3 separate regions of the Mus musculus genome follow, and all the other regions are reported to be linked to region 3. Evidence: microRNA targets listed by miRTarBase, many of them from high-throughput screens and not tested one by one. Region 3 holds a microRNA gene; each other region holds the end of a gene's coding sequence.

Region 1 (3,103 bases), not on the chromosome of region 3:
TGGGAACTGCTGTGGTTACTTACATACTGATGCTAACTTCTCTTACCCTGCAACATTTTTCTCCTCGGTAAAATAAGATTGTAATCTTTATTCACACATTCTTTTCTCCCTTCCGCTTTACAGGTGGATCATACAATAATAATGTACTTGATTGGACCAGATGGAGAATTTCTTGATTATTTTGGACAAAACAAGAAGAAGGCAGAAATAGCCGGCTCAATTGCTGCACACATGAGGTCACACATGAAGAAGAGGTAGCCAGAGCCGTGTCACCAGATGCAGGATTGGCTTGCTGAAGAGGAAGCTTTGTCTCCCAGAGGAACCTCTATATACTGTAACATACAACATGGACTTCATACCCTGAGAACATCATTCTACATGAGATGTTACCCTGGGGCTCAGCCAACCCAGTCTGCCAGGAAACTACCATGAGTTAAAGGGCCAGGGTGGTCAGAGCCAGTGGAGAACAGACGTCCAGAACCATCAGAGAGGCACACAATGCACATCTGTAGGAATGGCACTCTTGGAGTAGTGTTGCTTCCTTGCCGGTGTCTTCTTGCTCAGGGGGGCCAAATTCTACAGGAAGGTGTCACTTCCGTAATGTTCTTGCTGTTTCAATTTGTGTGCTCAGCATAGGCATTCAAGTCCTCTTTATATTTGAGAGTAGAAGCTTAGCTTCTTTGAAAAGGAATGTCACCATCAGGTCTGCATCTCTGTCACACAGTAGGTGCTGCTTTGGGCTGGAGGAGAAAACTTACTGTTTGCACATAACTTTTGGTTCATTCTCCACCTTTTTATTTTTTATTTTTTGTTTTTTGAGGCAGGGTTTCTCTGTATAGCCCTGGCTATCCTGGAACTCACTCTGTAGACCAGGCTGGCCTCGAACTCAGAAATCTGCCTGCCTCTGCCTCCCCAGTGCTGGGATTAAAGGCGTGCACCACCACTGCCCAGCTTTTTTTTTTTTTTTAATCCTTTTTATTTTTTTAATAGCTAAGTGGTTTGACTGGTTTTCAGTGGTAGACCACGTGGAAATGAGAATATTTATCATGTCTATGATCTGGTAATTTTTATGTACCAGATTACACAATGTATGAAATAAAAGATGTGGTCAGTCCAGCAACTTGGACAAGCATGGCTTTGCTTCTGTGAAGAATGGGTCCCTAGCACACCATGGTAGGGGTAGAGGCCACAGACTGAAGTGCTTGTTAAATAGATAAGTGCTTGTTAAAATGCAGATTCACAGGCCAGGAACTGGCCTCTCTTGAGTCAGAGTGGGATACAGAGACCTGGGTCTCCAGGGGCAAGTGACTGAGATCTGAGGACCTGAGCCCACACCTGGGTCATCTGTTCCATAGAGAAGTAACAAGCATAACCAGCTCTTAAAGGTGTCAGCAGCTACTCCAGGGAATGTCGTCTGGCTGGGTGTGGTGTGCACACTGTTAGTCCCAGCACTCGGGAGGCAGAGGCAGGGGCTTCTTCAAGTTTGAGGCTAGCCTGGTCTAATAGAGAGTCTTGGGCCAACCAGGCTACCTAATAAGACCCTGTCTCCAAAAAAAAAAAAAAAAAAAGAGAGTAAGAAAGACGATGCCTGCTGAGTAATGAATCTTGGCTTTGTTTCTGAATTAAACTTCCCTGATACCTGGGTTTGGCTATCTCCTTTTCAACTTGAACCTTTTTAATGAATCCAAAGATGCTACAAATGAGCCTTGCTGGAAACCATTCTTCCCAAACACAGATTAGTTTATATGCAAGCAATAAAGGCTTACCTTCTGGTTTTTAACTTCTTGGTACTTACATGAAGCCTAATGAAAATACTTATGTCACCATGAAAGAACACCTGTACTTGTTATAGGCCAAATCATGTCATTTACAATTTATATATTCAAGTCCTGGATCAGTCACTTCAGAATGTGACTGAATGTGGAAAGAAGGCATTTATTTATTTGTTGGTTTGTTTTTAAATTTTTGAGGCAGGGTTTCTCTGTAATCCTGGCTGTCCTAGAACTTGTAAGGACCAGGCTGGCCTTGAACTGAGATCCACTTGCCACTGCCTCTGGGTAGTATTTGGTGCTGGGACTAAAGGCATCACCACCCCCACACAGCTGGAGAGTAAGGCTTTAAAGAGGTAATAAGGTTTAAATGAAGCTGTTAGGTTTTCTCTTCCTTAAAGCAAACCTACTGATATCCTTAAAAGGGTAGGAAATTAGAACACAGGAGAGCAGGCTGAAGCACAGTTGTCTGTCCCTGGCCTCAGAAGAAACCGACTCCTGACACCCCCATCATTGATTGCCAGTCTCTAGAACCTTAAGAAAACAATTATTTTCTGTTAAATCAGTCAGCTGCAGTGAACCAGTATAGTCCATTCCTTAGTTGTGAGCCACCATGTGGTTACTGAGAATTGAACTCGGAACTGCTGAAAGAGCGGTCAGTGTTCTTTAACCACTGAGCAATCTCTCCAGCCACCCTGTTCAGAGACGTTTAAGACATTAAGTAGCCATTTAATGTCTTTATCTCAGGGTTCTGCATCGGTCACTCTATATCATACTGTAACTGTGTGTATACTGCGCTAAGGTCAAGGAAGAAGCAAGTAGAGTAGGGTTCAGTGTAGACCAGAACAAATGCAACAACCTGCTTGTTAGGGTTTTTCTTTGTAAAACCAGGATTGCATTAGGAAGGCATCAGATGGTGGGAGCACAAACCAGACGTGCACAGCTCCAGCAGGACTTGGTGTGATTGGTTTCAATTGAAGCAGACACAAAGCCCCTTCCAGAGTGAGATGCCTTGAACTATGTAGTGGCTTACATACCTGGAAGTGTAGGATGTATCCTGCCACTGTCTACAATCTACACCTCAAAACACATCAGAAGAATTCCTATGAGTGGCCTTGAAAGAAAGCATGTCTGGGGTGTAAGACTTCAACTCTTAGCAACGTGCTCTAGCTTAGCACAATAGCAAGGGCAGGCTACCCCAGGTGAGAGAGGGACAAAGAGACTGAAGAAGGCAGAGCTCTCAGCAAAGTTTAACAAACCCAAAGGGAAGAGAATGGTTTATTACTTATTGCAAACATCACCACCCATAATTTCCATAATTTCCCTACTTGTTC
Region 2 (3,103 bases), not on the chromosome of region 3:
AACCATTGTCTTACCTAGATTTTATGGCACACACTATCCTTTGGCCTCATCTATGAGTGTATAGAATGGCCTTTATTAAGGTCTCTTTACACCCCTCCCCCACTTGATGTTCTCTACAATTTTAGTTTCTGTAAATTCTAGGCTGAGACCTAAACTTCCAAGTGATCATTCTAAAAAAAGGTGTTTATGTAGCAAAGACAATATATTCACACAGATTCACTAAAACCGTTCCTTATGTAGTTGCAGGCTGGCCGAGAGAGCTTACCTGTGAAGCCTGACACTGTGGAGAAGTTACGGACACATATAGATGCAATTATCCTGGCCTTACCAGACGACCTGCAAGGCATACTGCTCAAGACCGGCATGACATAACACTTGTCAGGTTTTCCAGCCAGAAAGGACTGTGAAGCAGGAAGCATACTGACATTCATCTAGACGCACACTGAGCAAGCTCAGGGGCACAGCACGGAAATAAGCAGCAATTGCTAGATACAGCTGGAAAGGCTGAGCGGACACACAGACATTTGTAGTGCGTTCTGTGGTGGTTCCACAATGCTGAAATACCGAAAGACATTTCCATATTTTTAATCACGTTCTAAAGTGCTCTTATGAGAGACCTATGGGGCCATCAGTGTAAGTGACTCCAAACTGCAGTGCCGGCATTGCAGATATTTTTTTAAATTGGTGCTGCTTTGCCCAATCATGTTGAACTCAGGGGAATAGAAGAATAATGTTCACACTGGCTGTCTTCTTAAGAAGGAAAAACTGAACTTTCCAACTATAGTTAGATATAACTGAGGCTTATGTAGTGCCTTCCATTGTCCTATATGTTTCACAGGGTCCAGCTGCTAATTGTAAGGCTTTTTCTTTTTTAATTATGATACATAATTTCAAAGGCATTATGTCAAGTAATCACTTGCCCAAAAGTATTTCTTGTTGCCCCTCATGTTTATTGCCTGTTGTTTTAAATTATCATGTAGGTTTTCATGTCACAACTCTCTACCATTTTCACAACTTAGGTGTGTCTCCGAGGAAGGAGGCACATGCAGTTCTGGCTATGGAAGAGCTGATTTCTCCTCTCTCTTTTACTCACTGGCCTGCATACACTAGGTAGCTTGAATGTCTTTTGAAGACATTCTCACAATGAACATCATAGTTGTTTTTTAAAAGAATATTTTTATGTCAAAGATAAGCCATTCATGTAATAATTATTTGAGAGTTTTACATTTACCTTTTAACGTTATTTGTTGGGTGACACTATTTCCCCTAGTGGATGATTTTTAGAAGACTTTTCCTGTTGTTGTTTGACATGGGACCTTTTGTGTAAATCAGCATTACACTTTTGTTTGTTTGTTTTCATTTTGTTTGTACTACCTTGCCAAAAGTAGAATGAGATAGTTTGGTTTCAGATGGGAGTGTTGCAGAAGCCACTGTTCAGATAGGCACACACAAAGCAGCACATGTGTAAATAGCTGTGACTTAAGTACCTGCCCTTCTGAGCAGCCACACGGTGGCTTCAGAAGCCATCTCTTATTCTTTTGCTGTTATTTTCAAGGGCATTCCTGATCCAAGAAGGTTTCTCTGTGTGTGTGACTGTGGTCTCATATCTAGGGTGCCCCTTCCTTACTCATGGATACAGTCTCTTGAAGCATACCACTGTCCTAGGAAGAATATGGCATTTGAATGAAATCATTTGTCTGGATTGATTGATTGAAAATTTATTTTGTGAAACAATACTGACCTTTCAGAAAAGGGGCAACTACTTTTATATGCTAAAGTACTTCATAACTTTCTGGGAAACTTTATTTAGGTAGAAATGGTCATCTTATTATTTTTCAAAAAAATGTATTTTAATAATTTCACAATTTATATACAGTTTGTGACATGAATATGAAAGTCATTAGTATTATATCAAGGATTTTTGAAATATACTTCTACAGGATATATCATTTGAAGTTTATTTTGCACACCTAAAGAAAAACATGAAATATCAATTAGCATGATAATGCTGTCTTTATGTTTACCACATATAACAGAAACTCAACACATGGTGAAAACCAAATCATATTCACCTACTTTATCTCTTAATTTCAAATTATGCATTGGAAACCCAAGGAAGACTGAATGGTTAACTTAAATTTTTATGTCAGTTTTAGAATTTCAGAATTGTCTCTTTCATTGTTTTTGTTTTTTGTTTTTTTTTTTTTTCGAGACAGGGTTTCTCTGTGTAGCCCTGGCTGTCCTGCAACTCACTCTGTAGACCAGGCTGGCCTCCAACTCAGAAATCCACCTGCCTCTGCCTCCCGAGTGCTGGGATTAAAGGCGTGTGCTACCACCGCTAGGCTCTTTCATTGTTTTTAAGGAGTTTAGTATTCAAACCCTGCGGTTTGTTTAATGTGTTATCTCCACCAGCATTAGAAGGAATCAGTGCTTAGGGTGTTCTGTAATGCCTAGTGCCTTCTCTTTACAGTGGAAAAGAGGGTTTGTGGAGGCATTTATGGTCATTACCCAAAGCTTGAATTAAAGGCCTTGGATTTTAAAAAACTTAGGTAGCTTGTGTTATGTGTCTTCTTTTTTGGTTGGTTTTGTTTTGGAGACAAGCTTTCGTGTATCCTGGACTGGCTTCACACTCCATGTGTAGCCATGGATGATCTTGAACGTCTGCTTTTCCTGCTTCTACCGCCTCAGCGTGGAGATTGCTGGCCTGTTCCACCATGCCTAGTTCAGTGCTGAGGCCTGAGCCCAAGGATCCATGCATCTAGGCTAGCACTCTGCCAACTGAGCTACGTGCCCAGCCCTAACTTGGATTTCTTATATTTGCAATACTTGGAGAAACATACATAATGAAACTTGTACATTATTAAAATATTTTATTTCTAGATAGTTTTTTTCCAAATGAAATGAAAATCCAAACCTTTTTGTGTGTATTTTATTATAAACAGGTGAAATGATGAGATCCTAGCCAGACGCCGGTGGTGTACACCTTTAATCCCAGTGCTCAGAAGGCAGAGACAGTGAAGTGAAATGAAGTGTACTGAGGTTTAAAGCGGTTTAGATGTGGTACTCATTATGGGTATTTGTGTTTGAGTTTACTTGTTTTTGA
Region 3 (3,228 bases):
GGCCTTCTGCTGATCTGGAGAGTAACCCTACCCTGGTTCTCCAAAGGGTATGTTACTTCTGTCCGCAGGTCCCAACCTTCATAGACCTCAGGGTCTGCGCTCCTAGAAGGAAAAGGGGAAGAGAAAGAACACCCTCAGGGAGAAGTTTGGCCTCTAGGCCTCCACCTCCTCTTCACTCTCTGGATCGCGTCTAGGACTTTTGAGTTTGGGTTAGAGTGGCGCTCCAGGGGACCAAGAGGCACCTTCTCCCTCCACCCCAGTGCCCAGGTGCTGCAGGGAGGGCTGGGAGACCGACAAGCATCGGAAAGGGAGTCTCCCACCTTCTCAGAGGCCCGTCTCCGCGGAGGCCAGATCACCGACAATTTTCCATCTCCCCTGCTCGCTGTGGGGGAAGGAACACTCAGCCGCGACTGCCCCTCCTCTTGCCAGCTGGAGGATGGCCGCACCCCTTATATACATACAGGTGTGCACCCCTCTTCCCCATGAAGGCCTCCACCCAGTTCTGAGGACCCAGGAACAGGAATGAGGCAAACTCAATGTAGAGAGGCACCCGAGTACTACAGAGGACCCGAGAACGCCAGAAGTCAAGGTTCCAAGGTCTGATGGATGTGGGGATCCTCACTCCAGGAGTGGGAGTGAAGAAAAGAAGGTGAACCCCCAGGAGAATAGTTAAGGGTCTGCAAGCCTACAGATGAATGATCACTGGAGGTGGAGACAGCTGGAGCTCTAGGGCCCAGGGGGACCGCTTACGGGTGAGGCTCGGCGCTGGCTCCTGGACCTCGGCGTCGCCGTAGATGCTGCGCCGCTGCAACTGCAGCTCCCGCTCGCGCTCGCGCACTCGTCGCACCTCCTGCTCCAGCAGTGACGGGGCAACGAGCGGTGGCAACTGCCCCAGTACCGGACAGCCGTCCTGAACGGCGGGGTGCAGCCGGCCTCCGGTCTCTGGCTGCCTCTGCAAGCCAGCGCCGTCCTCCGCCGCAGCCTCAAAGAAGCGCTTGAGTTCGTCCAGCGGCTGCGGCCGCCGCCGGGCGCTAGGCTCCGGAACCGCGGGGCTCGCCAGCGCCGCCTGCCTGTGAGCCTCGCGTTCGATGTCCCGTTGCATCTTCGCGCCCGCCCGAGCGCGCTCCAGGGCGCGCGGCAGCGGAGTACCGGAGCCGGGCCGACTGAGCACCGGCCGCACGCGCAACTCAATGAGTTCCTCGCCCGCGCGACCGGGACTCAGACCCCGGCTCCGGCGCAGGCTTTCCTCCCGCTCGCAGCTGCGGCGGATTTCGCGCTGGATGGGCGTCTCCATCTGCAATTCCGCCGGCGCCGGTTTGGATGCCGCGGGCTTCGGTAGAAAACACACCTGGAGGCCTCTGAGCCGAGACAGGGGCACAACTGCCCCAGTACCTCCGTTATACTAGTGCCAGGCGGCCCAGCTGTGGACCGCCCGGGCGCTCGGTCCGGTGCTCAACTGGCACCTGCGGGACCTGGCTCTCTGGCTCCAGAGTCTGCAAGTGCTCCTCTCCAGAGGTTTCCAGGACCTCACTGCCTCCCCCAGCAGCCCTCGGTGCCCTGGCTCTGCGGCTCCCGGAACACGTAGCCTTCAGGCGACCCCAGGACTCCACTCTCGGACACCCGAGGACATGGATGTTTGGAGTTAGGCGCCCTTTGAAAATTTTAGTTCTCAGAGCCGAATTGAGATGCCCAAATAGGTAGGACACGGTGCCCTGTGCAGTACCTGTAGTTACAGCCGCCGCCCGAGGTTCATAGGCGTCGCCAGCACTCTTCTTTGACCCGCCTCTGGCCTCCAGGAACATCCCCTGGGGGCAGGACTGGGCACCGCCCCCGTCACCTGCCAGCTGGATTCGAGTGGCCCTGGACCCGCCCTATGGGCCAGGGCGCCTCCACTGCTCTCCGGATTCCCGCCACCTGAACACACGGGTTGACTGAAGGGGTGGCTTCTTCGGAAAGGGCTTCCCTGAACTCACTACCCAGGGGGTATGTGTCGCCCTTTCCCTCTGGTACCACGCTGGCATTCTGGGGTCTTTTTTTTTTTTTTTTTTTTTTTTCATCACTTTCCGGAGACCTGACCTCTAGCGGAGCGCCGCGCTGATCGCTGAACCACGGCCTCCTTACAGAGTGTTTCCCCGGTCGTCTTTCGCTGACCTCACTAGTCTAGGTCAGCAAGTGCCAGCCTGCGGCCAGCGACACCACTCTCCTTCCCCCCGCCCCCTATCCCGTGATCTCCGGGCCTTCTCTGCACACTGATCGCTGAGGCAACACAGCTCGAGTCCAGCCCGAGGGTCGCCCGGGGCCGCCGCACTGGGTGCTGCTGCTACCCGGGGCTGCTCAGCTCTGTCTGGTTTGCAGCGGCGCTGCCGCCACTCAAAACCCTGGGGCAGATTCCCCACCCCCACCTTCCAGAAAAGCCCGCAAGGCATTGGCAGCCAAGTGTCCAGCTAGAATGAGCGGTGTTTGAGGGCACAGACATTACAGGACTTCCGGGCCTCAGCCGAGCAATTGTGGCTGGAAGGCGGTCAGCTTGGACCAGTTTGCCCAGGAGGCCCAAGATGGGGCAGAGGAGCCACCGGGTTAGCGGGAGGCAGTAGCGACCTTTGTCTGGTGCCCGATCTGTGTTTCGGGACAGGGTCGATGACCCAGAGTGAGGGCTAACCACTCGTAGAGACATTTCCACTCGCCCTTGTGGAACCCGGCTTTCACAAAAACCGGCCCACCCTGTGTTCTATAGTAACCTAGAAGAAAGAATTGCCTAAAGAAAATGGAAAGATTAAATGGGATTAAGAGAGTGGTGGCACACTCCTTTAATCCCAGCACTCAGGAGGCAGAGGTAGAGGTGTCTCAGGCCAGCCCCTATTCTCCGTAATGAGTTCCAGGACACCTGCATTTCCAGATCTTGCTTCACCAAAAAAGTAAATGGAAATAGAGGGCTACACAATCCCAACTACTTGGTCACCCTTTTCAGTCTGTCCTCTCTTACAACCAGCCTCAAACGGTGCCTCCTCTTGGGTTGGAAAGATGGCTCATCAGTTAAGAGCACGGGCTGCTCTTCCAGATGACCAGGATGGTTCACACTATCTGTAACTCTAACCTTATGGGACCTGACCTCCTCCCAAACCCAGGCACTGTCCCAACATGGTGCACAGATACATGTGCAGGCACATGGCTGATACACATAAAATAAAAACAAATAAATCTTTAAACAAGAGTAAGTTTAAGGCCTGG

What was found. Region 3 holds the annotated microRNA mmu-miR-1199-5p (UCUGAGUCCCGGUCGCGCGG, at 1,204-1,223, opposite strand). A microRNA usually pairs through its seed, bases 2 to 8, with sites in the 3' UTR of a target mRNA and lowers its output. Matches are read on the target gene's strand: a 7mer-m8 pairs with bases 2 to 8, a 7mer-A1 pairs with bases 2 to 7 and ends in A, and an 8mer does both.
Region 1: the mRNA of Sco1 is a reported target of mmu-miR-1199-5p. Seed matches in the 3' UTR shown: 7mer-A1 at 885-891.
Region 2: the mRNA of Dennd6a is a reported target of mmu-miR-1199-5p. Seed matches in the 3' UTR shown: 7mer-A1 at 2,277-2,283.

The regions. Positions count from the first base shown.
Region 1 is chr11:67,063,783-67,066,885 of GRCm38, forward strand. Sco1 (SCO1 cytochrome c oxidase assembly protein) reads left to right here. Exons shown (of 6, transcript NM_001040026.1): 6 at 124-3,103. The coding sequence ends at 258. Among named protein-coding and RNA genes, the nearest start is that of Sco1, 13 kb to the left of the region's middle.
Region 2 is chr14:26,629,188-26,632,290 of GRCm38, forward strand. Dennd6a (DENN/MADD domain containing 6A) reads left to right here. Exons shown (of 20, transcript NM_001134465.2): 20 at 241-3,103. The coding sequence ends at 372. Among named protein-coding and RNA genes, the nearest start is that of Arf4, 7.4 kb to the right of the region's middle.
Region 3 is chr8:84,010,391-84,013,618 of GRCm38, forward strand. Mir1199 (microRNA 1199) reads right to left here and starts at 1,243; the gene lies at 1,125-1,243. Misp3 (MISP family member 3) reads right to left here and starts at 1,330. Exons shown (of 3, transcript NM_001291292.1): 1 at 751-1,330; 2 at 321-382; 3 at 1-102. The coding sequence starts at 1,294. The coding sequence ends at 88.